7 linked regions of the Mus musculus genome follow. The protein of the gene in region 1 interacts with the protein of each later gene in a pairwise test. Links are inferred from orthologs where the notes say so. Each region holds a gene or a part of one and is shown in the gene's direction. Other genes may lie near its edges.

What was found.
Region 2: the proteins of Rab3ip (region 1) and Plod3 interact in binary tests that used the Homo sapiens proteins (3 or more experiments, as listed by UniProt). The link is inferred for Mus musculus from reciprocal best matches to the Homo sapiens genes RAB3IP and PLOD3.
Region 3: the proteins of Rab3ip (region 1) and Ppl interact in binary tests that used the Homo sapiens proteins (3 or more experiments, as listed by UniProt). The two-hybrid records come from large-scale screens. The link is inferred for Mus musculus from reciprocal best matches to the Homo sapiens genes RAB3IP and PPL.
Region 4: the proteins of Rab3ip (region 1) and Rufy1 interact in binary tests that used the Homo sapiens proteins (3 or more experiments, as listed by UniProt). The two-hybrid records come from large-scale screens. The link is inferred for Mus musculus from reciprocal best matches to the Homo sapiens genes RAB3IP and RUFY1.
Region 5: the proteins of Rab3ip (region 1) and Naa10 interact in binary tests that used the Homo sapiens proteins (3 or more experiments, as listed by UniProt). The two-hybrid records come from large-scale screens. The link is inferred for Mus musculus from reciprocal best matches to the Homo sapiens genes RAB3IP and NAA10.
Region 6: the proteins of Rab3ip (region 1) and Banp interact in binary tests that used the Homo sapiens proteins (3 or more experiments, as listed by UniProt). The two-hybrid records come from large-scale screens. The link is inferred for Mus musculus from reciprocal best matches to the Homo sapiens genes RAB3IP and BANP.
Region 7: the proteins of Rab3ip (region 1) and Trappc6a interact in binary tests that used the Homo sapiens proteins (3 or more experiments, as listed by UniProt). The two-hybrid records come from large-scale screens. The link is inferred for Mus musculus from reciprocal best matches to the Homo sapiens genes RAB3IP and TRAPPC6A.

What each region holds. Positions count from the first base shown.
Region 1 is NC_000076.6:116,912,454-116,915,953, reverse strand, and holds part of Rab3ip (rab-3A-interacting protein), read left to right. Parts: coding exon 1-110; exon of another isoform or gene 111-1,311; intron 1,312-1,518; exon of another isoform or gene 1,519-1,744; coding exon 1,745-1,857; intron 1,858-3,500. UniProt on the Homo sapiens protein: Guanine nucleotide exchange factor (GEF) which may activate RAB8A and RAB8B. Promotes the exchange of GDP to GTP, converting inactive GDP-bound Rab proteins into their active GTP-bound form.
Region 2 is NC_000071.6:136,990,019-136,993,518, forward strand, and holds part of Plod3 (multifunctional procollagen lysine hydroxylase and glycosyltransferase LH3 precursor), read left to right. Parts: intron 1-132; coding exon 133-258; intron 259-399; coding exon 400-521; intron 522-726; coding exon 727-831; intron 832-940; coding exon 941-1,066; intron 1,067-1,281; coding exon 1,282-1,423; exon of another isoform or gene 1,424-1,523; intron 1,524-1,525; coding exon 1,526-1,639; intron 1,640-1,753; coding exon 1,754-1,822; intron 1,823-3,190; coding exon 3,191-3,295; intron 3,296-3,500. UniProt on the Homo sapiens protein: Multifunctional enzyme that catalyzes a series of essential post-translational modifications on Lys residues in procollagen. Plays a redundant role in catalyzing the formation of hydroxylysine residues in -Xaa-Lys-Gly- sequences in collagens.
Region 3 is NC_000082.6:5,090,982-5,094,481, reverse strand, and holds part of Ppl (periplakin), read left to right. Parts: coding exon 1-73; intron 74-1,202; coding exon 1,203-1,286; intron 1,287-2,000; coding exon 2,001-2,117; intron 2,118-2,544; coding exon 2,545-2,637; intron 2,638-3,135; exon of another isoform or gene 3,136-3,500. UniProt on the Homo sapiens protein: Component of the cornified envelope of keratinocytes. May link the cornified envelope to desmosomes and intermediate filaments. May act as a localization signal in PKB/AKT-mediated signaling.
Region 4 is NC_000077.6:50,388,786-50,390,955, reverse strand, and holds the end of Rufy1 (RUN and FYVE domain-containing protein 1), read left to right. Parts: intron 1-584; coding exon 585-662; intron 663-997; coding exon 998-1,141; 3' UTR 1,142-1,670; downstream 1,671-2,170. UniProt on the Homo sapiens protein: Activating adapter involved in cargo sorting from early/recycling endosomes. Regulates retrieval of proteins from endosomes to the trans-Golgi network through interaction with the dynein-dynactin complex.
Region 5 is NC_000086.7:73,916,370-73,918,944, reverse strand, and holds the end of Naa10 (N-alpha-acetyltransferase 10), read left to right. Parts: intron 1-992; exon of another isoform or gene 993-1,017; coding exon 1,018-1,102; intron 1,103-1,658; coding exon of another isoform or gene 1,659-1,749; coding exon 1,750-1,986; 3' UTR 1,987-2,075; downstream 2,076-2,575. UniProt on the Homo sapiens protein: Catalytic subunit of N-terminal acetyltransferase complexes which display alpha (N-terminal) acetyltransferase activity. Acetylates amino termini that are devoid of initiator methionine.
Region 6 is NC_000074.6:121,998,992-122,002,491, forward strand, and holds part of Banp (protein BANP), read left to right. Parts: intron 1-1,972; coding exon 1,973-2,140; intron 2,141-3,500. UniProt on the Homo sapiens protein: Controls V(D)J recombination during T-cell development by repressing T-cell receptor (TCR) beta enhancer function. Binds to scaffold/matrix attachment region beta (S/MARbeta), an ATC-rich DNA sequence located upstream of the TCR beta enhancer.
Region 7 is NC_000073.6:19,514,158-19,516,645, forward strand, and holds the end of Trappc6a (trafficking protein particle complex subunit 6A), read left to right. Parts: intron 1-43; coding exon 44-111; intron 112-264; coding exon 265-382; intron 383-849; coding exon 850-933; intron 934-1,046; coding exon 1,047-1,140; intron 1,141-1,688; coding exon 1,689-1,720; 3' UTR 1,721-1,804; coding exon of another isoform or gene 1,805-1,908; 3' UTR 1,909-1,988; downstream 1,989-2,488. UniProt on the Homo sapiens protein: May play a role in vesicular transport during the biogenesis of melanosomes.

The sequences.
Region 1 (3,500 bases):
ATGAGTTCAGATCTTGGAAGGATGAGCCCACGATGGACAGAACGTGTCCTTTCCTGGACAAAATCTACCAGGAGGACATCTTTCCATGTTTAACATTTGCAAAGAGTGAGGTAATGGTTTTCATTTTAATAGAAATGCAGTAGAGTCTGTTGTACTTCCTACTGTCAGGCTTCATATTTTAATGTCCTACATGTAATTTTACTACTGTAAAATGTCATCTTAAACATTTTTCCATTTTCCATTAGGACCACGATCACGGCTATTCTGAACATCTTTCCTCATTGTATTAGTGAGCCGTGTAGATAGGTGTGGGAGGAGGGTTGCTGCCTGATTCGCAGACCCAGATTCAGTTTTCAGTTTAAGCCAAGTTCTATACACACCCTGTTAAAGGTGCTTGCCAGAGTGTAGCTCAGAGCAGAGTGCTCCACTGACCGTACAAGGAAGTGCTCCACTGACCGTACAAGGCCCTGTTAGATCACTGCTAACATAGACCCTAAACCAGAACACCAAACGTGTCCTTAAACCAAACAGAAAGACAATGCCAACGTGCCTGGGTTAGGGTTGGTAGAGGATGAAGCAAGCAGGTTGAAGCACATTGAAAAGGGTCAGGTGGATAAGTCGCATCCAACGTAAGATCAGTGTCTCAGTGAGGGTTTCTGTTCCTGCACAAACATCTTGACCAAGAAGCAAGTTGGGGAGGAAAGGATTTATTCAGCTTACACTTCCACATTGCTGTTCATCACCAAAGGAAGTCAGGACTGGAACTCAAGCAGGTCAGGGAGCAGGAGCTGATGCAGAGGCCATGGAGGGATGTTTCTTATTGGTTTGCTTCCCCTGGCTTGCTCAGCTTGCTTTCTTATAGAACCCAGGACTACCAGGCCCAGGGATGGCACCACCCGCAATGGGCCCTCCCGTCCTCGATCACTAATGGAGAAAATGCCTTACAGCTGGATCTTATGGAAGCTCCTTTCTCTGTGATAACTCCAGCTTGTGTCAAGTTGACACACAACCAGCCAGGACAGCCATATTTTAGTTTGATCTTATATGTGAGAAGTTTGTCTCCAAATAGCCTGCCAGCTAATGTTTAAGGAATTCAGTCCTCAGAATCTTCCATGACTCTGGAGAGGGTTGAGCTGTATCGTCCTTGTAAGGAGAACTGTGCACGAGCAGCTTGGCACCGACCCGAGCGTGGGCTGTGCATTGCAGCCTGTTCCCTAGCGCTCGTAGCCGCAGCAGACTCAACTCTGACCTTCTTACTGGCTGCCCGTGGAGGGCACTCCATATCTCATCTCATCTGGGAGATTGTTGTGCCTATAAGACAGAAGTTGAGAAAATATGTAGCTAAAATTACTATATATTGCTGTCATAAATGACCAGTATTTATTGTATAAATTTAGAGGGTAAAGCATTAGGATATTAATTTTGAAGTGGCTTGTATATAGTACACGTGTAGCCATGTGTGGACAGAGCCTGGAACAATAGCAATAAAATAATAATAATAATAATAAACAACCTTACCCTCAGCCAGTTAGTGCAGAACCTCCTTGCTACTGTAACTGAGCTGCCTGTCGTAGCGGCTTGCGTTTTAAAGGTTAAATCGCGGTTGTGCTTTATGCTTTTCTTCCTTCTCTTTGCAGTGGCTACGGCCAAGTTAGTGAAGCAGAGGGAGGACCAGCTTGTAAAATTAATGTCGTATTTTATTTTGGTATTTTTCTGCTGACATTTAACTCTGTTTTGTTTTAAGTTGGCTTCAGCTGTTCTGGAGGCTGTGGAGAACAACACTCTAAGCATCGAACCAGTGGGGTTGCAGCCCATCCGCTTCGTGAAGGCTTCCGCTGTCGAGTGCGGAGGGCCAAAGTAGGTGTTTTCACCACGCCCTGTGGGAAGAGCGCGCTCTTCAGAGTCTCTGTGCTGTGCTCTTGTGTTTGTTCTTGTCTGTGGTTTGAATGACATGCGGTGTTTGTCTTTAACTTTGTATTTCAAAGTTAAACTTATCCCTCCCCCCAGACAAAGCTGAGGTCTATTAGGTAAAGAAAGGTGTGTGGTTTATTTAGAGAATTCTAGAACATTCTTAGACTTCAGTGTGGCTGCGGAGAGAGGAACAGCCAAGGAAAGGTCAGCGGTACAGACCCAAGGCAAGAGGTGGATGTGGCTGCTCAGGAGCGCCCTGAAGATCTCTTAATTACGTAATACATACATGCTGGGGCTGCAGGCCGACTAAAGGTTAGAGACAGTGTTGACCTATTAGTGGGCTGTGAAGTCAGACGTGTGAATTGTAGGCCAGACTGGGAGAGAGAAAAGAGAAGGTAATGGCTTGGTAACTGGCCTTACCAAGTAGGAAAACAGGATACAGGAGCTGGAGAGATGGCTCAGTGGTTAGCAGCACTTGATGCTCTTGAGAGAGCCCAAGTTCAGCTCCTAGCTCCCACATCAGCCCACCCAGCACCCACCTGTAACTCAGGTCGGATACCTCTGGCCTGAATGAGTTTCATGGGAACATGTCCCCTGCCCCCAGACCTGGATACATATACATAATTAAAAATAAAAAAAATTAGTCCTCACCTTCCATATGATTTCTATAAAAGATGCTGAAATTGGCAAACAGCTGTCTCCCACATGTGACAGGCATTTGGAAAGTACAAGTTGTCAAAGGGAGGACTGCTCTGTTCTCAGGGTGGGGCAGCCTTTTTCGTCCATTACTGTAAGGAATAGGCTTTAGCGTCTGTTTTATTTTATCAGGGAAAGCATTTGAGGACCGGGCTAAGGGCTGTTGTGATGCTGTGCACGCAGGACCTGTTAGAGAAGCTGTACCGCCTGTTTCTGTGGGTGCACACACATTCCCAGGGCGGCTGTAGAGTGCTAGTGGTTATGGGACTGCTTGGGTGGTGTAGCCGGTTGTGTTTGTTCCCTGAGCTGCATACCCAGCCAGAGCTGTGGTTGGTGTTAAACTACTGTGACCATACCCTGTAGCGCAGCAGCCTGGACTTGAGGGGAGCTTATAGTATTAAATCGTACAAACACCAAAGTGTTTTCCTGTTAGCCCTGCAGCCCCTCAAATGGAAAGTCAGGTGTGGGGAACGCAGTGTTTGGAACCTGAACAAGTATGGCATGTGGCAGCTTGTCTGCTTACACTGTGTCACATATACTATACATAGGAAAGCATTCTCTACATGATGGCAGACAGCAGTGTGAATCAGGTAGGTTAGATTTAGAGAGCAATTTACACACAGTGCTTATGTGCGCAAGGTCAGGAGGGAAGGCACTTGTGGTAAAATGGAAGGAAGAGTTTTGTCTTTTTCTCCTTTCCTCCCTTCCTGTCTTTCTTTCCTTTACATTTTATTTTCTACTACTGTGGCGGAGTCACAGCATGCACGTGGAAGTCACAGTAGGACTTGTGGAGCTGGCTTCTCTCCCACTGTGTGGGTTCCGGGGCGTGAACTCAGGCTCTCTCTCTCCCTCCCTCTCTCCCCCTCTCCCCCTCTTCCCCTCCCTCCTCTCCC
Region 2 (3,500 bases), on another chromosome or scaffold:
AGCAGAGGGCCAGCTGGGCGGCCTGGGGCTGAGCTCCTGTGCACCTGGACCTGGCCGAGTGGGCAGTGGGTGACTGCTGTGGGCAGAGAGAGGTCTGGGCTTGTGTGAGCCTTGTCCTGTGGTGTCCCCCAGCCTCCCCCCCGGGTGCTTCTGGCCGTGTTTGTGGAGCAGCCTACTCCCTTCCTGCCTCGGTTCCTGCAGCGCCTACTGCTCCTGGATTACCCCCCGGACAGGATCTCTCTCTTCCTTCACAACAGCGTGAGATATGGAGAGCATACCCCTTATCCCCCATCCCACCGCACCGACACCTCCTTCCGTCTGTCCTCCCTGACTGCATCCCCCATGTACCCACCTCTCTGCCCAGACCGTCAGTGTATCCCTCTCTCCGCCCATCTTCAGGAGGTGTACCACGAGCCTCATATTGCAGATGCCTGGCCACAGCTCCAGGACCATTTTTCAGCTGTAAAGCTGGTGGGGCCAGAGGAGGCCCTGAGCGCAGGGGAGGCCAGGGACATGGCCATGTGAGTGAGTCTGCCTGGGCTGTGGTCACACTACGCTCCCCTCCCTCATCCTCTGACACAGACAGTGGAGCCCCTGGGGAAGGAGACACTGACCCTTGACCTCATGTCAGAACCAGGAGAGCCCCGCTCATCCCTCCATCCCCACTGCCCTGCCTCCATGCCCCCATTTGGGCTCACCTCTCTATCTGTGGCTCTTCTCCTCCAGGGACAGCTGTCGGCAGAACCCTGAGTGTGAGTTCTACTTTAGCCTGGATGCTGATGCCGTCCTTACGAACCCGGAGACCTTGCGTGTCTTGATTGAACAAAACAGGTGACCAGCACCACCCATGCATGGAGCCCCAGAAGAGCTTCACCCCCTCCCCTGGTGGGACATAGTCCTATCCCATCTCGTCCATCCCTCACCTACGTCTTCTCCATAGGAAGGTAATAGCTCCCATGCTTTCCCGCCATGGCAAGCTCTGGTCCAACTTCTGGGGTGCCCTGAGCCCCAATGAGTACTACGCCCGCTCCGAAGACTACGTGGAACTGGTGCAGCGGAAGCGAGTGTGAGTCCCACCCACGTACCGTGCAGTGCCAGGCAGGCCCTTCCCTCGGTCCCCCTCCGCAGCCTCCTACATACACACTAGGCCCCCGCTATGGAAAGGGTGATATGATGGCCTCAGGCTTGGGATTCTGGGGGACACCGAGGAGGAGCTTCTGCAGTGAGCAAAGCGTAGTCTGTGGGGTTGCCCACCTAGCTGATCATACCCGGTGCCTGCAGGGGCGTGTGGAATGTACCCTACATATCTCAGGCATATGTGATCCGCGGGGAGACCCTGAGGACTGAACTGCCCCAAAAGGAGGTATTCTCCAGCAGCGACACAGACCCAGATATGGCTTTCTGCAAGAGCGTCCGGGACAAGGTGAGTGGGGTGGTTGGCATGGGTTGCCCATGGGGACTCGACGCTGTGCCCACAGCCTCCTGATGTCCTCCTCACGCATGCCCACCCTTTACCCCGCTCCAGGGCATCTTCCTCCACCTCAGCAACCAGCACGAGTTTGGCCGGCTGCTGGCTACTTCTCGCTATGACACAGACCACCTACACCCAGACCTCTGGCAGATCTTTGACAACCCTGTGGTAAGAGGGGACCTTTGCTCCCTGCTTCCAGCCCATAGCCCCCACCACCATTGCTGATCATGGGAGGGCAGGCGTGAAGAAGGCTCCGCTCGAGCGCCCTAACCCTTCCTACAGGACTGGAGAGAACAGTACATTCACGAGAATTACAGCCGGGCCCTGGATGGGGAAGGGCTAGTGGAACAGGTAAGCTGCCCCAGGACCTTGGCCCGTGTGAAGTACCCACTGCTGGCATTGGTGGGTTCTAAGCTGAGCACCCGGGGACTGAGGGTTTCCTATTCGGGCGAGAGGAAGGCTAACGGCCACACTAAGTGTTAAGGGCCTGTAATCTTAGAGGTCTGGAAGGTGGTGCAGAAGGATGGAGAGTTTCAGGCTAACCTGGGCTACATAATAGGTACCAGACCAGCCATGGTCAGATGGCAAGACCAAGTCTCAAAAGAAGAAAAAAGATGGGCTGAGAGAGAACTCAGTGGTCAAGTGCTTAGGACATAAGCATGGCGACCTAGTACAGGTCTCCAGAGCCCACCTGCAGTTCCAGACTGAGGACCCGCAGCAGGTTGATTCGCAAGACTGGCTGCATCCGTAAGCTCTGGGTTCAATTAGGAGATCATGCTCGGTGGATAAGGTGAAAGAACAATGGAGCAGTTCCTGGTGTCAACCTCAGACCTTCGAATGCACAAATGTGCACACGCACACCCCCAACATAGCCGTGCCCACCCGCACATGCACACCCCCACACAGCCGTGCGCACACGCACATAAAAACAAACAGAGGTGTGGTACATGCCAATAATGCCAGAGCCCAGGTCGAGGAAGATAACAGGGATTTGGAGTTGCAGGGCAGCATCAGACACGTAGCCAGTTCAAGGCCAGCCTGGGGACTGGAGAGATGGCTCAGCAGTTAAGAGCACCGACTGCTCTTGCGAAGGTCCTGAGTTCAAATCCCAGCAACCAGATGGTGGCTCACAACCATCTGTAATGAGATCTGACTCCCTCTTCTGGAGTGTCTGAAGATAGCTACAGTGTATTCACATACATAAAATAAATAACTCTTAAAAAAAAAAAAAGGCCATCCTGGATTACATAGTAAGACCTTGTCTAAAAATAAGTAAGTAGATGGGCTGGAGCTGGGGCTCGTGCAGTAGAGAGCTCCCCCAGTATTCACAGAGCCCTAGGTTCAGTTCCCAGCACAGTATAACCCGAGCATGAAGTTGCACGCCTGTGATCTCGGCATTCAGGAAGTGCAAGTAGGACGATCAGTGCCAGCCTCAGCTACCTAGTGAGTTTGAGGACAGCCTGGGCTACAAAAGACCCTGTCTCAAAAAGGAGGAAAAAAGACAGGACAAGATCATTGTTCTAGATGTTGGGGCTCCAGGCCCCCTATTCCTGCCCTCCTCTGCTAAAACACCCTTCCTCTCTCCACCTAGAGAGCTTGGGTCAGCCCTCCATAGATCCTCTCCTGTGTGTCTCCCCTCCCCTGTCCTTGTTGCCTGTCCCACCTCTCTTCTGTGAGCTTCACCTTGCCTTGTCCCTTGCTGCCCTGCTCTGTCCCTAGCCATGCCCAGATGTGTACTGGTTCCCACTGCTGACCGAGCAGATGTGTGATGAGCTGGTGGAGGAAATGGAACACTATGGCCAGTGGTCTGGAGGCCGGCACGAGGTGAGGACAGAGGGCTCCCAAGGGGACAGGGTGGGCCTGAAGAGGGACAGGGGACTTGGGGGATAGAGGGGATCCCCAAGGGCGGGGCTCATAAAGAGTATGCTAGTTACTTGTGGCCAGGAGAAAGTATATGTCCAAAGCAACTTGAAGAAAGGGTTTCTTGTGGCTCACAGTCTGCGGGCACAAGCCCATCATGGCAGGAAGG
Region 3 (3,500 bases), on another chromosome or scaffold:
CAAGACTCCCAGTTATGAGCCCCAGGAGACAGACAGCCTCGGCCAGATGGAGACCAAGCTCAAGAACCAGAAGGTAAGATGGCTGCTTCTACTTTGTAATGTATGTCTGGGAGCATCAGAAGTCTTCAAGGCCTGGCTGGAGGGATGGCTCAGTGGTTAAGAGCACTGACTGCTCTTCCAGACATGGTGGCTCACAACCATCTGTAATGAGATCCAATGTCGTCTCTGGTGTGTCTGAAGACAGCTACGGTGTACTCACATTCATTTTTAGAAAAAGAAGAAGAAGAAGTTCTCAAGGCCAATGGGGCAAGACAAAGGAAGGGGCCACCGCTTTCAGCATCCTCTCACAAGCACTCCACGTCTTGCTCACCCCTTTCCCCACAATGCCCTTCACAGGCCCTGACTCAACAGATATTCATATGGCTTAGCTCATGACCGAAACACTGGGAACTCTGTGGGAAAGATCCCATTATCAAAGTTGGGGTTCCCACTTCCTCAATGCCACAAGGACCTCAGAAATCCAGTGGCTGAGGCTAAGGAAGCGAATTTGTCAGAAAAGTGCTTGCTATGCAAACATGAAGACCTGAATGTAATCACTAGAACCCCCCTAATAAGTCAAGCATGGCTATGCAAGTCCATAATTCTAGCATTGGGCAAGAACGGAAGACAAAAGGGTCCATGAAATTCATTGGCTAGCAAGCATTGCCAAATTGATCGATTTCTGGGTTCAGTGAGAGATCCTGTCTCAAAAACTAAGTGGAAAACAGTAGCAGAAAGATATATGATGTAGACTGTTAGCCTTTGTATGTGCACAGAGACGGGCAGACAGACAGACAGAGGGAAACACAGGGAAAGCCAGCTCCTGATAGTCAACTTGCTGTCCCTCCCTGGACTTGTTTTCTCAAGTCAAACAAGTTCCTCGGGCTTGGCTCACACGCTTGCTGTAGGATTACATGCTCTACCAGAGCAGAGCCTGGCATTTCAGAGCTCACAATAAACACCTGTTTCCTGGCACGAATAACCATCTTCACGGCCCTTGCTCCAGGCCTTGGCACTGCCCTTTGTGGTGAACAAATGTACACAGGAAAGCCACCCACTATGCTTCCAGCTATAGCATGTTGACTTTAGGTCCTAAGGACTCAGCCTCTGAGGAGCCTGTGTGTGTGGTTCAGCTTTGGTTTCCAGTATCTCCTGTTTTACAGAACTTGCTTGATGAGCTAGCAAGCAGGGAACAGGAGGTGCAGAAGGTCTATGCAGATTCCCAGCAGTACCAGCAAGCGGTGAAGGTGAGCCATGAACCCTGTCAGAGCACACAGTAGGGCCTTTTGCATTAAATGTTACAGAGCAATCTAGGTAGGTTGCTGGGGAAATGGGCAGTCGCCTTATGTAGGCCCCACCCCTTTGACAAAACAATACAGCACCAGATACCTGATATCACCCAGGAATTATATTCTTAGAACAGTCAACTCTTTGTGTGTGTGTGGGGGGGTTACCCTAAAGGAAAACAAAACAAAATGAAAAATGATGTACACCAAGCAAAATTATATAACAGCTCTAGTTATAACGGGAAAACTAGCCAACAAAGCCTTATGCAGGAATGTCTGTGTAAATGACCCAGCATCTACTTTGATGGAAAATGCCAAGGTCTCTGGTGGAGAAAGGGAGAAAGGCTTAGGATGCAGTGTTCCCCAAGGAAACAGCATTTGGCCTTTTGGAAGGCCCAAAGAGTCAACTTGGTTTGTGTCTCTACACGAGTTAGGAATTGCAGGCACATTTTCTTGTATGGATGTCACTCAGTGAGGTAGCAACTTAGCATCACTGTCTTAGCCAGCTCAGGTACAGATGTGAGGAAGTTATACAAGATTGCTAAACCAGCTCTGGCAGCTTGGAGTCCTTAGAGGGAGCATAAATCACTGTCACTTTTTGTTGTTGTTGTTGTTGTTGTTGTTGTTGTTGTTATTGCCCCTAGCTGACTACTGTACTTCCTTTCTTTTACCCAGGACTATGAACTTGAAGCAGAGAAGCTAAGGTCCTTGCTGGACCTGGAGAATGGACGGAACAGCCATGTGAACAAGAGAGCCAGGCTGCAGTCTCCTGCTGCCAAAGTGAAGGAAGAGGTGAGCTGTAAGTGAAGACTGCCAGGGGCTCTCCAGATGTGGTCCTCGGTGAAGCACTTGCAAGAGAAAGAACTTGTTTTGGAGCAGTGAGATATCAATATGCCTAAGAGGCAGGCTTGTAGGGGTTCTGGTCCCATGCCAGATACATGGGAGGCTCCCACCTTGCTCCCCTGTGCAAGTCTGTAGTAGAGGGCAGTACAGCCTGCAACAGCTGTGAAAAGAATACTTAGAAAGACTTGCTCAGTGGTCATGGACCAAGAATCAACCTGCATCAGCTCAGTCTTATATTTCCACCAAAGGCTGGAGCTACGGGTAGCACTGGGCAAGAGGTAGCCCTTTCTCTACACGCCAGGCCCTTCCTAGACTGTGTCCAAGTGTTCTGTTGTTCTCCTAGCCTTCTAACTGCTGTCCTAAAATTTCTCTGTAGGAAGCTGCTCTTGCTGCCAAGTTCACAGAGGTTAATGCCATCAACAGACAGAGGCTACAGAATTTGGAGTTTGCACTGAATCTCTTGAGACAGGTAATCCATCTTAGTTAGAAATACTACTTCTAATTGTCCTACAAGATGGAAAGCAGTTTCCTCTGCCTTAGAGACACAGCCTGAGAATGACGGGAGTGTCTTCTGCTGACACTTTTGAGAAGGATTAATGCTAATGCTAAGCTAAACCAGCCTTCTTCACTAGCTTGGGCTAACTTCCATACCAATTCAAAAGATGTTTGCTGAGCACTTATCAAAGGCTTTTGTTTGCTGTTTAATGAGTGTTTTGCCTGCATGTATGTATGTGCACCACACATGTGCCTGGTGCCCAAGATCAGAAAAAGACAATGCATCCCTTAGAACTGGAGTTTCAGATGGTTGTGAGCTACCATGTTGGGTGCTAGGCATTAAACCTGGGTGCCCTTTAAGAGCAACAAGTGGTCTTAACTGCTGAGCCACCTCTCCAGCCCCCAGAGTTTTTTGGGAGTGGGGTGGGATGGGGTTTTTTGGGGAGGTGTTGTTTTGTTTCATTTTTTTCAAGACAGGGTTCTCTGTGTAGTCCTGGCAGTCCTGGAACTCACTCTGCTGGGATTAAAGGCATACACCACAACCACCGAGCTTCAAAGTTATTTTCAGTGGCATGTCTGTGTTTCTGTATGTGGATTTGCTTAAGTGCAGGAACATGGACATGCTTGCATGTGCAGGACAATGACAACCAAAGAGTCATCCGGAGGAACGCATTTACCCCTTTTAAGACAAGGTTTCCTATTGGCCCGGAGTTTACCAAGTAGGCTAGACTAGCTGGCCAGCAAGGCTCAGGAAGCTTCCAGTGTCCACATCCTTGATGCTGTGATTGCAGGTGTCGCTCCCCTAGAGCACCAGAGCCCTGCATTTCCCACCAGTGC
Region 4 (2,170 bases), on another chromosome or scaffold:
TAAGAAAACAGGGGAGGGGCTGGCGAGATGGCTCAGCAGGTAAGAGCACTGACTGCTCTTCTGAAGGTCCTGAGTTCAAATCCCAGCAACCACATGGTGGCTCACAACCACCCGTGATGAGATCTGACGCCCTCTTCTGGTGTGTCTTAAGACAGCTACAGTGTACTTATGTATAATAATAAATCTTTAAAAAAAAAAAAAACAGGGGAGCCAGGTGATGGTGGCCCACACTTTTAATCCCAGCACTTGGGAGCCAGAGACAGTCGGATCTCTGAGTTCAAAGCCAGCCCGGTCTGTAGAGTGAATTTTGGGACAGCTGGGGTTGCACAGAGAAATTGTCTCAAAACAAACAGGACAGGGGAGTGTTTTGGGTGAATCGTGCCTTGGTGGAGGCCAGGCTGCTGAGAGCAGACACGTTATATGGATCTGTGAATCCCACCTGCAACATGTATGAGTGGACGTTATTGTCTTGGAAAGCAGCCAGGCCTGGAAAGAAAATTGGGCAGTCACGAGAGAGTAGATGCAGCCAAGTAGGGACAGACATAGACATGAGGTGGAGTTCTTAGGTGTTCTTTCTTCTTCAGGGCCACACATGGTTGAAAGATGACGAGGCAACACATTGTAAGCAGTGTGAGAAGGACTTCTCCATTTCTCGGAGGAAGGTATGTAGGAGCCGCTCCTGGGTTCCCTGGAAAAGCCTGGCTTTTCACTATAGCTCTGCCCGTGAGTCTGCTGGAGGCCCTTGCCCGAGTTCTCTAATGACTGGCATGGGTGGGCAGTGAGCTTCTGTGTAGAGCTGCTGTATACATCACTGGCAGCCCTCTGTATGCAGCAGGACCAATTGTTTGACTGAATTAGGCTAACAACCTAATCAGAAGAGGTTGTCTATGACATGAGTCTATGACATAGCCATTTATAGAAGCCACGATTTTCGAAGCATGGTAGGTGTGGGGTCCCACCTCCCAGTAGTCTTAACTGCCATTGTCCTGTCTTCTAGCACCACTGCCGAAACTGTGGCCACATTTTCTGCAACACCTGCTCTAGCAACGAGCTGGCCCTGCCCTCCTACCCTAAGCCAGTGCGTGTGTGTGACAGCTGCCATACCCTGCTACTGCAGCGCTGCTCCTCCACTGCCTCCTGAAGCCATCAGCCCCACCCACCAGCAGGGACCTTGACCTGTTGACCTCCATCCTCAGAGTGGAGGAAAGCCTCAGGTACAGTGCCAAACTTGGGATCTCCAGAGACCTGTAGGGACCCAAGAGAATCAAAGGAAAGAATGAAACCTTCACCAGGCTGTCAGCCTCGGAAGAGAATGCCAAGTGGCAGCTGAGCACTTTTCCATGGTCTCTATGGAGTCATCTCCTCTAGACAGACACTTCTGTGTCCTCAGTTAAATCCTGGCTTTGGTACAGGTGCAACTTCATGACTTTGCTACTGTCACCTTCACTTTTCAAAGGGTTAACCTGTTGTGCAGCAGTTGCACTAGAGAATCCTTTCTCTTTCCTACCCACGTCCCACAGAAACCTTGATTTCTGCTGTGCTTTGAACCTTGTGGGTCTGTCAGTGTGCCTTGTCTGCTTCGGCATCCAGCATTTGCCATCATGCTCCTGCCAACACCTACTGTCAGCCCTGCAATAAAATCCTTTATTTTTCACTCTTGTACAGACAAAGTGCTGGCCTCCAGCTTGCTTGTGGAGGGCTCAGCAAGGCCTGGGGAGGAGGGCCTGCTGGGTCTGAGCTCTTCAGCTCAGTGTTGCTTGGACTCGGGCTGCTCTACCCAGGTGAACCAAAGCCCAAAGCCTGTCACCAAAGTCCAAGTGAGTTACTTACACAGATGCCTGACTCAAAGTGGGGTTACATCCACGTTGCAGTCAAGTAGAAATGAGCCAATAATGACCACAGTACAGCCTCCCTTAGCCTGCCTTGAAAGTACTCAAAACACTGAGCTTGCAAAAAAGCAGATCTCTGGCAGATTCCTAGCACTTGGGAGGCAGAGGCAGGCAAATTTCTGAGTTCAAAGCCAGCCTGGTCTACAGAGTGAGTTCCAGGATAGCCAGGGCTACACAGAGAAACCCTGTCTCAAAAAAAAAAAAAAAAAAAAAAAAACAACAAAAAAAAAAAAAAATAAATAAATAAATAAAATAATAATAATAAAAAAAGCAAACCATTA
Region 5 (2,575 bases), on another chromosome or scaffold:
ATGACACCATTGGGACAGGGTAGTAGTCTTCAGCTTTTCTGGGTTCTACATCCAGATTCATGGAGGGCTCTTTGACGTAGTTAAGACGCCTCTGCAACAGGAACTGCTTTAGCTGCTAAGTCAGCAGTTTCCAGCTGGGTATGGTAACACACGCCTCTTAATCTCTGCACTCAAAGTAGACGACTATGGCTTGGAGTTCCAGCATAGTGAGTTCCAGGTTAGTCTCAACCACATAGCAAGACCCTGTCTCAATTAAGCTTAATTGTGAGGACGTGTGTTTGATCCCTAGCACCCATGCATAAAAGCCATATACAGTGCCCCGCACCTGTTATCCTAGTGCTGAAGAGGTTAAGACAAGAGAGTCCCTGGGGTTCACTAATCAACCAGCCTAGTTGAATGGACAAGTTCCAGATTCAGTGAGAGACCCTATTTTGAAAAAATAAAAATAAGGTGGAAAGCAACTGAGGAAGATACCCAACATGTACCTCTGAAGACTGGCAAGGAACCTTCCTAGGTCATCAAAGGGCTTCCCTTCCAGTGTCAGGGCTACTCAAGTGTGCACACACACCTCCCTCCCCTCCCTCAGCCATCTGGTCAGTAACCAGGTTGTCTATGCTGACTATCTACATGCAGGTACAGTGTCCCTTTTTCCTAGCAGAGGAACTGGCTATGTGCTCAGTAAATGATAAGAAGCAGGTCAGGGAGAGGAAGAAGCAGAACTAGGGGCTTCAACTGAAAACACAAGTCCTTGCTGGTCAGGCTAGGGACAAAGTGGTAGCAAGTCTAGGAATGGGAAGTACCCTGGATGCTACATGCTGCTCGGCTTCACTGGAAAAGCAGAGATAACTATCACAGCAGTTGGACAAGAGTTCATTCAAATGAAAAACAAAAAGGAGAAGCCCATTCACACTGGCTTTTTGCCTCTACAAAGGTTCTATGGGGGAGATGACATTTACCCCAGTAGCCTAAGAACCAGGAGAATTTGCCCCTAGGCATGTGTCTTGATCCTACCCCCAGGATCAGCGAAGTGGAGCCCAAATACTATGCAGATGGGGAAGATGCGTATGCAATGAAGCGGGACCTCACGCAGATGGCTGATGAGGTAAGAGTTCAGCCAGTCCAGGGCAGCAATTCCAGCAGCAGGGGAGATTCTGTACTTGGGAAAGGTGGCTACTTTAGAGCTGTGAGACTGAGTGAGGCAGTGGTGGCTAGAGGCAAGACCAAGATTGAGTGTCAGCCCTTGTCGTTGTAGAGCCCCTCTTTCCCTCACTTCCTAAGCTGTCAAGTTGTGACATGGCCTCTGTTGACTCTAGAGGGGGCTATGGGATGCTTTCTAGGGAAGAAGCCTGGAGGTGGGTGGAACAGGAGAGAGAGTAGGAAGATATTTTTCTAGGGAGAGGGACTACTAGGGTCAGGGGCAGCCTGCTCAGATTTAGGACTAAACTGGGCTAGGGGGAAAGGGTCTCTGACCAAGCCTCCTGGGGAGGTACTGCTCTGTCTTGGAGGCTCCCCAACAGCACATTTGAGGGCAATAGGACCTTTGTCATTTTACAGATGAGGAAAGCAGGCTTAGGGCAGAGCTAGGATTGAACTACATTTCTACCCAGTCCTATTTCTTGCCTTGGCCCTACCACTTCTCACTGTGTCCCTTCCCCCAGCCAGCCTCAGGGCCTGGCTCCTCTTGTCTCCTGTCTGGAGACTTAGGCCCTGTCTCTTTCCACCCGCTTCCCTCTGGGCTCCTGGCGGCAGCTGAGGCGGCACCTGGAGCTGAAGGAAAAGGGCAAGCACATGGTTCTGGCGGCCTTGGAGAACAAAGCGGAGAACAAAGGCAACGTGCTTCTGAGCTCAGGAGAGGCCTGTCGTGAGGAGAAGGGCCTGGCTGCTGAGGATAGTGGTGGGGACAGCAAGGACCTCAGTGAGGTCAGCGAGACCACAGAGAGCACAGATGTCAAAGACAGCTCAGAGGCCTCTGACTCTGCCTCCTAGAACCTGCCCCACCTGGTCCCAACCTTGCCCCATGTGCTTTTACAATAAATGTCACCCAGTGGCCTTGGGAAATTTGTGAATGTGCATAGTGGGGTATGCTTTTTTTTTTCCAGTTCCTATGTGTCAGGGATACTATCTTCACAGCCTAGACTGTATTGAGCTCACAAGTCAAAACAGATTTGAGGATGGGACCCCAAATCTGACTATCTTCAACAACTGAGTTGAAGTTGGCAGGTAAACTGTTTTGGGTGCTATATTCTTTTTTTGTTTTTTGTTTTTTTCTGGTTTTTCGAGACAGGGTTTCTCTGTGTAGCCTTGGCTGTCCTGGAACTCACTTTGTAGACCAGGCTGGCCTCGAACTCAGAAATCCGTCTGCCTCTGCCTCCCGAGTGCTGGGATTAAAGGTGTGCGCCACTACGCCCGGCTGGGTGCTATATTCTGATGTCACGTGTCTGGCCTATAGGCCTCATTAATGTCCTTTTTGTCCTAATGTAATTTTCTAGGGCTGAACAAAATGATTTCCTGGGCTTTCTAGTCAGCCTCACATTTCAGAGGCAGCTCTCCTACCTTGATGTTCTTTGCTGTACTG
Region 6 (3,500 bases), on another chromosome or scaffold:
TTTGAGCTTTGGTCCTACTGCATGGCCTGCTGAGCAGAGGAAGGTATGACATCAGGCCTCGTCTTGTTTGTCCTCCGCTGTGACGAAGGTGGACACATAGCCAGAAGTGACACTGTGAGATGGCTTCTCCTATTCCTTGGTTTTGCCTACAAACAGGCACAAGAGCGATGGTGTTCTTACTCAGTGAGGCTTTCAAATGTGTATCAGATGAGGTAGTTGGCCAGCAGGGGGTTCTGTGGTGACTGCGACTGGAAGCCAGGTGACTGGCCTGGGACCTACAGAGGCTTTTGTCCATATCTAAAGCCACTTGTCTCGCGTGTGGTTTCTCAGTGGTTTATGACTCTGTCTATTTGAGATGACCTGGAAGTCAGAACCAGAGCTGCCAACTCACTCCTGAGGGAAAGGGAAAAGTACTTCCAGGTCACAGGCCTGCTGTCACTGTGCCATTGCTGAGTATATGCAAACAGAACACTCAGAGACATCTCCTAATGCCCAGTAGGTAATATGGCAGTGAAAGGGTTCCACTCCTTCTCATGGCTGCTCTTGATGAGAGCAGCTGTAGAGTTTGGGGGAGAACTTCCCCCTCAGGAGACGATCTAAACTCGGTGGCTTTAACAGCCAGAAGAGGACATTTGCCAACTTAGACTTTTGATTATTGGAGTTTGAGTTTCTTCATTTATTTTCCTGTTATTTAGTGAAGTTGCATAAGCCAGCTACAGAGGTCACTGTGTTGAAGAGAAAGTCTTGTGACGTCCTTCACTACCATCCTTCCTGCTGTCATTGGGCCGTGGCAGACAGAGGACCATGGGCTGGAGACAGGGTCTAGTGGTTAAGAACACTTACTCCTCCTAGCAGTCCTGAGTTCGAGTCCCAACTCCCACAGCAGTGGCACACAGCTGTCTGTAGCTCTAGCTCTAGGTGATCCAGTAACTGTGACCTCTGCGGGTACACAAACACACACATACACACAATTTAATAAATATAAATTTTAATTGGCAAATTTAAGGATTGGTGATACAAAAAGTAAGTTCTAAAAAGAGGGAGGGCCATGGCGTGAGGTCGTGAGATGGCCAGGCTCTGCGTGCTCTTCTGTGCTCCCGGCCTGTTCTGTGCTCCTAAGGATCGGCAGTTGGGGTCCAGTGGTGCTCTGCTGTGTGCTGTGTGTTCCTGCTCTACCCTCCAGGGCTGGATGTGGCTACTACCCTTCCCTGGGGTTCCAGGCAACTCTGGGAAGTGGTTCCTGTGCTAAGAGCTTGGGTGTGTTAGGAGACAGCCTGGTAAGAACGAAGGAGTAAGCAACTGGCTGGGAGCACTGGGCAAACATCTTCAGGTGCCTGCTGCTCCCCGAATGCTGGCCAGAATTTACTGAGTGCCCCTCGTTTGTAAGGGAGGAAGGGTAAACACTGTGTGAGATCCCTGTACATTTAAGGTGTTCTAGAAAGCAAGTGTGCTGCACTGAGGGAGTTTTGGATGAGGAGAGGGGACAGTACTGTTTGCTGGTCTGGACTGAGGCGGGCTAGGCTAAACAGAAGAGCAGAGGGTAACGGACTACAGCTTTGGCAAGACCTGTATGAGTGCAGTTTTGAGTCTGATTCCCTAGGCAATTAGGATGGTATATGTCGTCTTGTGAGTGAGTTTAGGGCAAGAGAAGTTACAGGCTTGGGAGTCTGAAGCCTGGGAGAAATGGAGACTCGTTGGTGTTGGAGTGAAGCCTGGTTCTTTAAAGGTTAACTAACTCGACGGGAGGAGTGGTAAATACCTGCATCTGGTCCTGCTGCCCCCAGTGACCTGAGTGATGGGCGTCTTCCTTGATGAAGTGAGATTTTCTAGAAGATGAGTCAGACCTTTAGGAGTAGGCCAGCGGCTCAGCTGGGTCTCTTAGCAGAGCTTAGCTGCTGTTTGGTGCTCTCAGCAGTGGGGCTCAGGACAAGGCCTGCGTATGAGAGCTCTTAACTGGGACGTGTTCTTTCAGGTCACCTCTTCTATAAATTTGGAATCACGGAATCTGACTGGTATCGGATCAAGCAGAGCATTGACTCCAAGTGCCGGACAGCCTGGCGGCGGAAGCAGCGAGGCCAGAGCCTGGCGGTCAAGAGCTTCTCTCGGAGGACGCCATCCTCATCCTCTTACAGTGCCTCAGGTAGGCTCAGGAGGGCGCTGTCCCGAAGCTCCGTTCATCAGTCCTGGCCCTGTCAGTGAGGCTGGCCTTGTGGGAGCTCCCTAGGCAGTGACAAGAGCACAGGGCCTGCCTATTTACACTGTAGGCTCAACAGGAAAATTTAGTGTGGGACCTTTCTCGAGTTGCCTGGTTACTTATCTTCTGAGCGTCCTGCTGCCTTAACAGTAGCTACTGTGTAGCTGCAGAGTGGCGGTGGGTGAAGGACGGAGGGCCCATGTTGTGCTCTTTAGTCTTAGTTTGAGCTTATAGACTCAGGCTTGTCCTTAAGATCGCAGAGACATTCTCTGAGCCCTACCTGTTGGCCCGTCCCCTCCCTTCATGCTAGTGTAGAGCTTGCACTCAGGGTCTTGGGCAATCTTGGCACTGGTACTTTGCCACTGAGCTATGCTCTCAATCCTAAAATTGCCTCTTAAACTGTTTTTCATAGCTTTCTTGGCAGTAGCAACAGCTCCTGAAAGCTGAGTCCTGGGTTTGCTCAGGATCTGGGACAGCAGTGGGCAGGTGGCCGGCAAGGCTTCCTTTCAGTGCACGCTTTGTCCAGGGACTCTGGTTTGGAAGCTACAAAGCTGGTCACCTGGAGCCCTCCTTGAGCATCTTCCAGAAAGAGCTCTTCCTCCTTTGTTTTAGTGGCCATTAGTTACTTAGCTGTAGCCGGTGCCAAGGCTCTAAGGTGGCAGCTGTGTGGGCCACACACATTGTTCCCGGTAGGCAGTGTTGCTGCAGGTGGCACGCAGAACTGGGAGTTGGACTTCTATCCTGGGAACCCAAGGGAGCCTTTAGGCATGTGAGGAATGTGTCTGGTGAGGTTGTGTGTGGCTGTTAAATGGGGCGAGCACGACTTGTAGCTAACCTAAGATGTGCTCCCAAGTGCTGTCAGCCGTGCGGGCTGTGGTTTGGTCCTTCCTTACCCGAGCAGCGGATCTTCATGGTGGCAGTCTGCAGTGGTCCATCAGTTCTGTTTGTCTCACTGTGGCTCCCATGTTACTGTCCATGTGATTTAATCCGTGTGATTAAAGAGCAGGAAGATTCCGCTAGATCAGGTTGTAGTGGCTGCACTGCAGTGAGCCTTCGTGCTGTGAAGGTGCTGCATAGACGAGTGGATGCCTAGGTCTGAGCATTTGATCCCCTGCATCTGGGGTTATGGGTGGTTGTGAACCACCATGTGGGTGTTGGGAACTGCACCCAGGTCTTCGGAAAGGGCAGCTGGTGCTCTTAACTGCTAAGCTAAGTCTCCAACCCCATAAAGCCAGAACTTAATGACAACCTGAGAAGATCATACTGGGCCACAGATTTCATCATTGTATTAGGAAGATAACAAAAT
Region 7 (2,488 bases), on another chromosome or scaffold:
AGGCCTGTGTGGCCTCCTGAGCCTCCCTTTCTTGGCCTTCCAGGGAAAGAGGAGGAGCCTGTCCGTCCTGGAGGGCCTGGGCTTCCGCGTGGGCCAGGCTCTGGGTGAGAGGTGAGAGCCAGCCCCACCTGCCTTCCTCTGCTGCTTGGGAGAGTGGGCAGACCTGACGTTGGGGTTCCTGCTGACAAGACCAAGGGTGGGGAAGATTTCACGGGCCCACGCATGTACCGTGTGGGCCAGGCTTTGTTCCGCATCCTCATGCAGGCTGCCCCTGGAGACACCGGCCTTTAGGGAGGAGTTAGATGCCCTCAAGTTCCTGTGCAGAGATCTGTGGGCCGCCATGTTCCAGAAGCACATGGACGGACTCCGCACCAACCACCAGGTGGGTGTGCGAGCCCAGCTCCGGCACCTGGCTTCCAGCTTAGGGGCACTGGAACCTCCACAAGGGCCCACTGGGGACGTAGGAGGCAAGAACCCTAGACTGACATTAGCACCTACCCTTCTCCTTGGAGCCCCTAAGGGAGGACAGGACTGCAGTGGGTGGCAGGGCTGTTTCTTCAACTTCAGCCTGCCCCTCAGGAGTGACCCCTGCACAGTCAGCTAGTGGGCTCGACCAGGCAAGTCCCAGTAGTCCCCACTGAATACCCACACTGTGCTCATTCCCGCCACCACATCAAGAGCCAGAGATTGGGCCTCTCCCAGCACCTTACCAGGCAGGGACGGCTTCCTAATGCCACATGGCCCACATGCCAATGACAGGGTGTTCCACATGCGCCCAAAGGATTGAATGCTGGGTTTGTGGGTATACTGGGGTCCTTCCCTGCCCTCTGGCTCTTTTTTTGTTGCCAGGGGACCTATGTGCTGCAGGACAACAGCTTCCCCCTCCTTGTCACCATGGGCTCGGGGCCACAGTATCTAGAGGAAGCCCCCAAGGTATTGGGTGAGGGACGGGACATGCCCATCTACCCACCCCTGCTAGGCCGCTCGTGGGGCTGGGGCCTGGCTTCCCTCTTCTCACAGTGTTCTGTCCCCCACCCCCACCCCAGTTCCTGGCCTTCACCTGCGGCCTTCTGTGCGGCGCCCTCCATACACTGGGCTTCCAGAGCCTGGTCACCGCCTCCGTGGCATCCCTGCCCGCCTGTAAGTTACTGGGGGGGGGGGTTGTTTCCCTTAAATGTGGTGTAGGCTTTGGGGCTTCCGCATCCTTGGCCCCTCATCAGTGCTGGGAAGGGGAGCAAGATTACCAAGCTGTATGTGACATGAAATTTGAGGCCCAGAGACAGGTAACATGAATGGAATCATATGCCCAGCCTGCATCCCTGAGGTACCTCTAAGAGAAGAAGTGGGCATAAGACCCAGTGGGACATCTCATACCCTGGCCAGGTTCCTGATGGCTTGGAACGGTGGACTTGGCACCCGTCTGCTATTATCTTGACCCCATAGGGCACTGCTGGGCTTAGATGATGACTCCTGCCACTGTGAGGAGCTGGACTCAATGGGCAAGACATGTCAGGAGCTTGGGCTAGCCCTCCTGCCTCTGGGCTCCCCTGTGGTCTGGAATGTGGGCCACTTGGGTGGGGCGGTACCCCTGCGACCCACTCCCAGCCGGGGCCACTTGGGCTGTTGGTGCAGAGTGGGGTGCAGAGAGAGCCCTCTCACGGGTTTCTGTCTTGGCTCTTCTGTTCCAGGTAAGTTCCAGGTGGTGATCCAGAAGTCCTGAGGACCCCAGACCCCAGGCTTGCCCTTCCCTAAGCTTAGCCTCGGAATGTGGCACCTGACCCTGCCTCACTGCTCACCTTTGCAGGTCGCCTTGAAGCTGGAGCTCACAGGCTCTGGGGAGGTCACATGTGCTTCAGACAAGGGAATGAAAGGGCCGGGAGGGTCCCGGGAGGTGGGACCATCCCCTGAGTTCCAAGTCAGCATGGAGGGACATTAGGGCATCACCCAGATGACAGATGTTCAGTAAAGGTTCTTTATGTGCAAACAGACCTGTGCAGTGCTTATCACACGTTACTCCGTACCCACACCCACCCTGTGAGCTCTGGGCACACCTGGCCCAGCTCATGAGCTCTGCCAGCCAACAAGTCTGGGGCTGCCCCCAGCCCAGCAGGTGACACCCTGCCACCTTGTTCTGATTGTATTTGTAGCATCTGGGCTGCCCTTGGGCTTAAGCCTGGATTCTGCTGCCCATTGCTGCATGGGTAAGCACCCAGGCCCAGGGAATTCAGACCGAGGTGGCTGAGAAGTAACAAGGGCTGCTGGCTCGTGTGTGTGTGTGTGTGTGTGTGTGTGTGTGTGTGTGTGTGTGTGTGTGTGCGCGCGCTAAAGTGCTGAATCTAGTCCTCTGAAAGAGCAGTTAGCCCTGTTAACTACTAAGCCATCGCTCCAATTCGACACCCCGAAGACAAGGCCTCTCAGGGTGGGGCAGATGTATCAGAAGTTAAGAGTGTTTCTTGCTCTTGCTGAGGACCCAGGTTTGAATCCCATC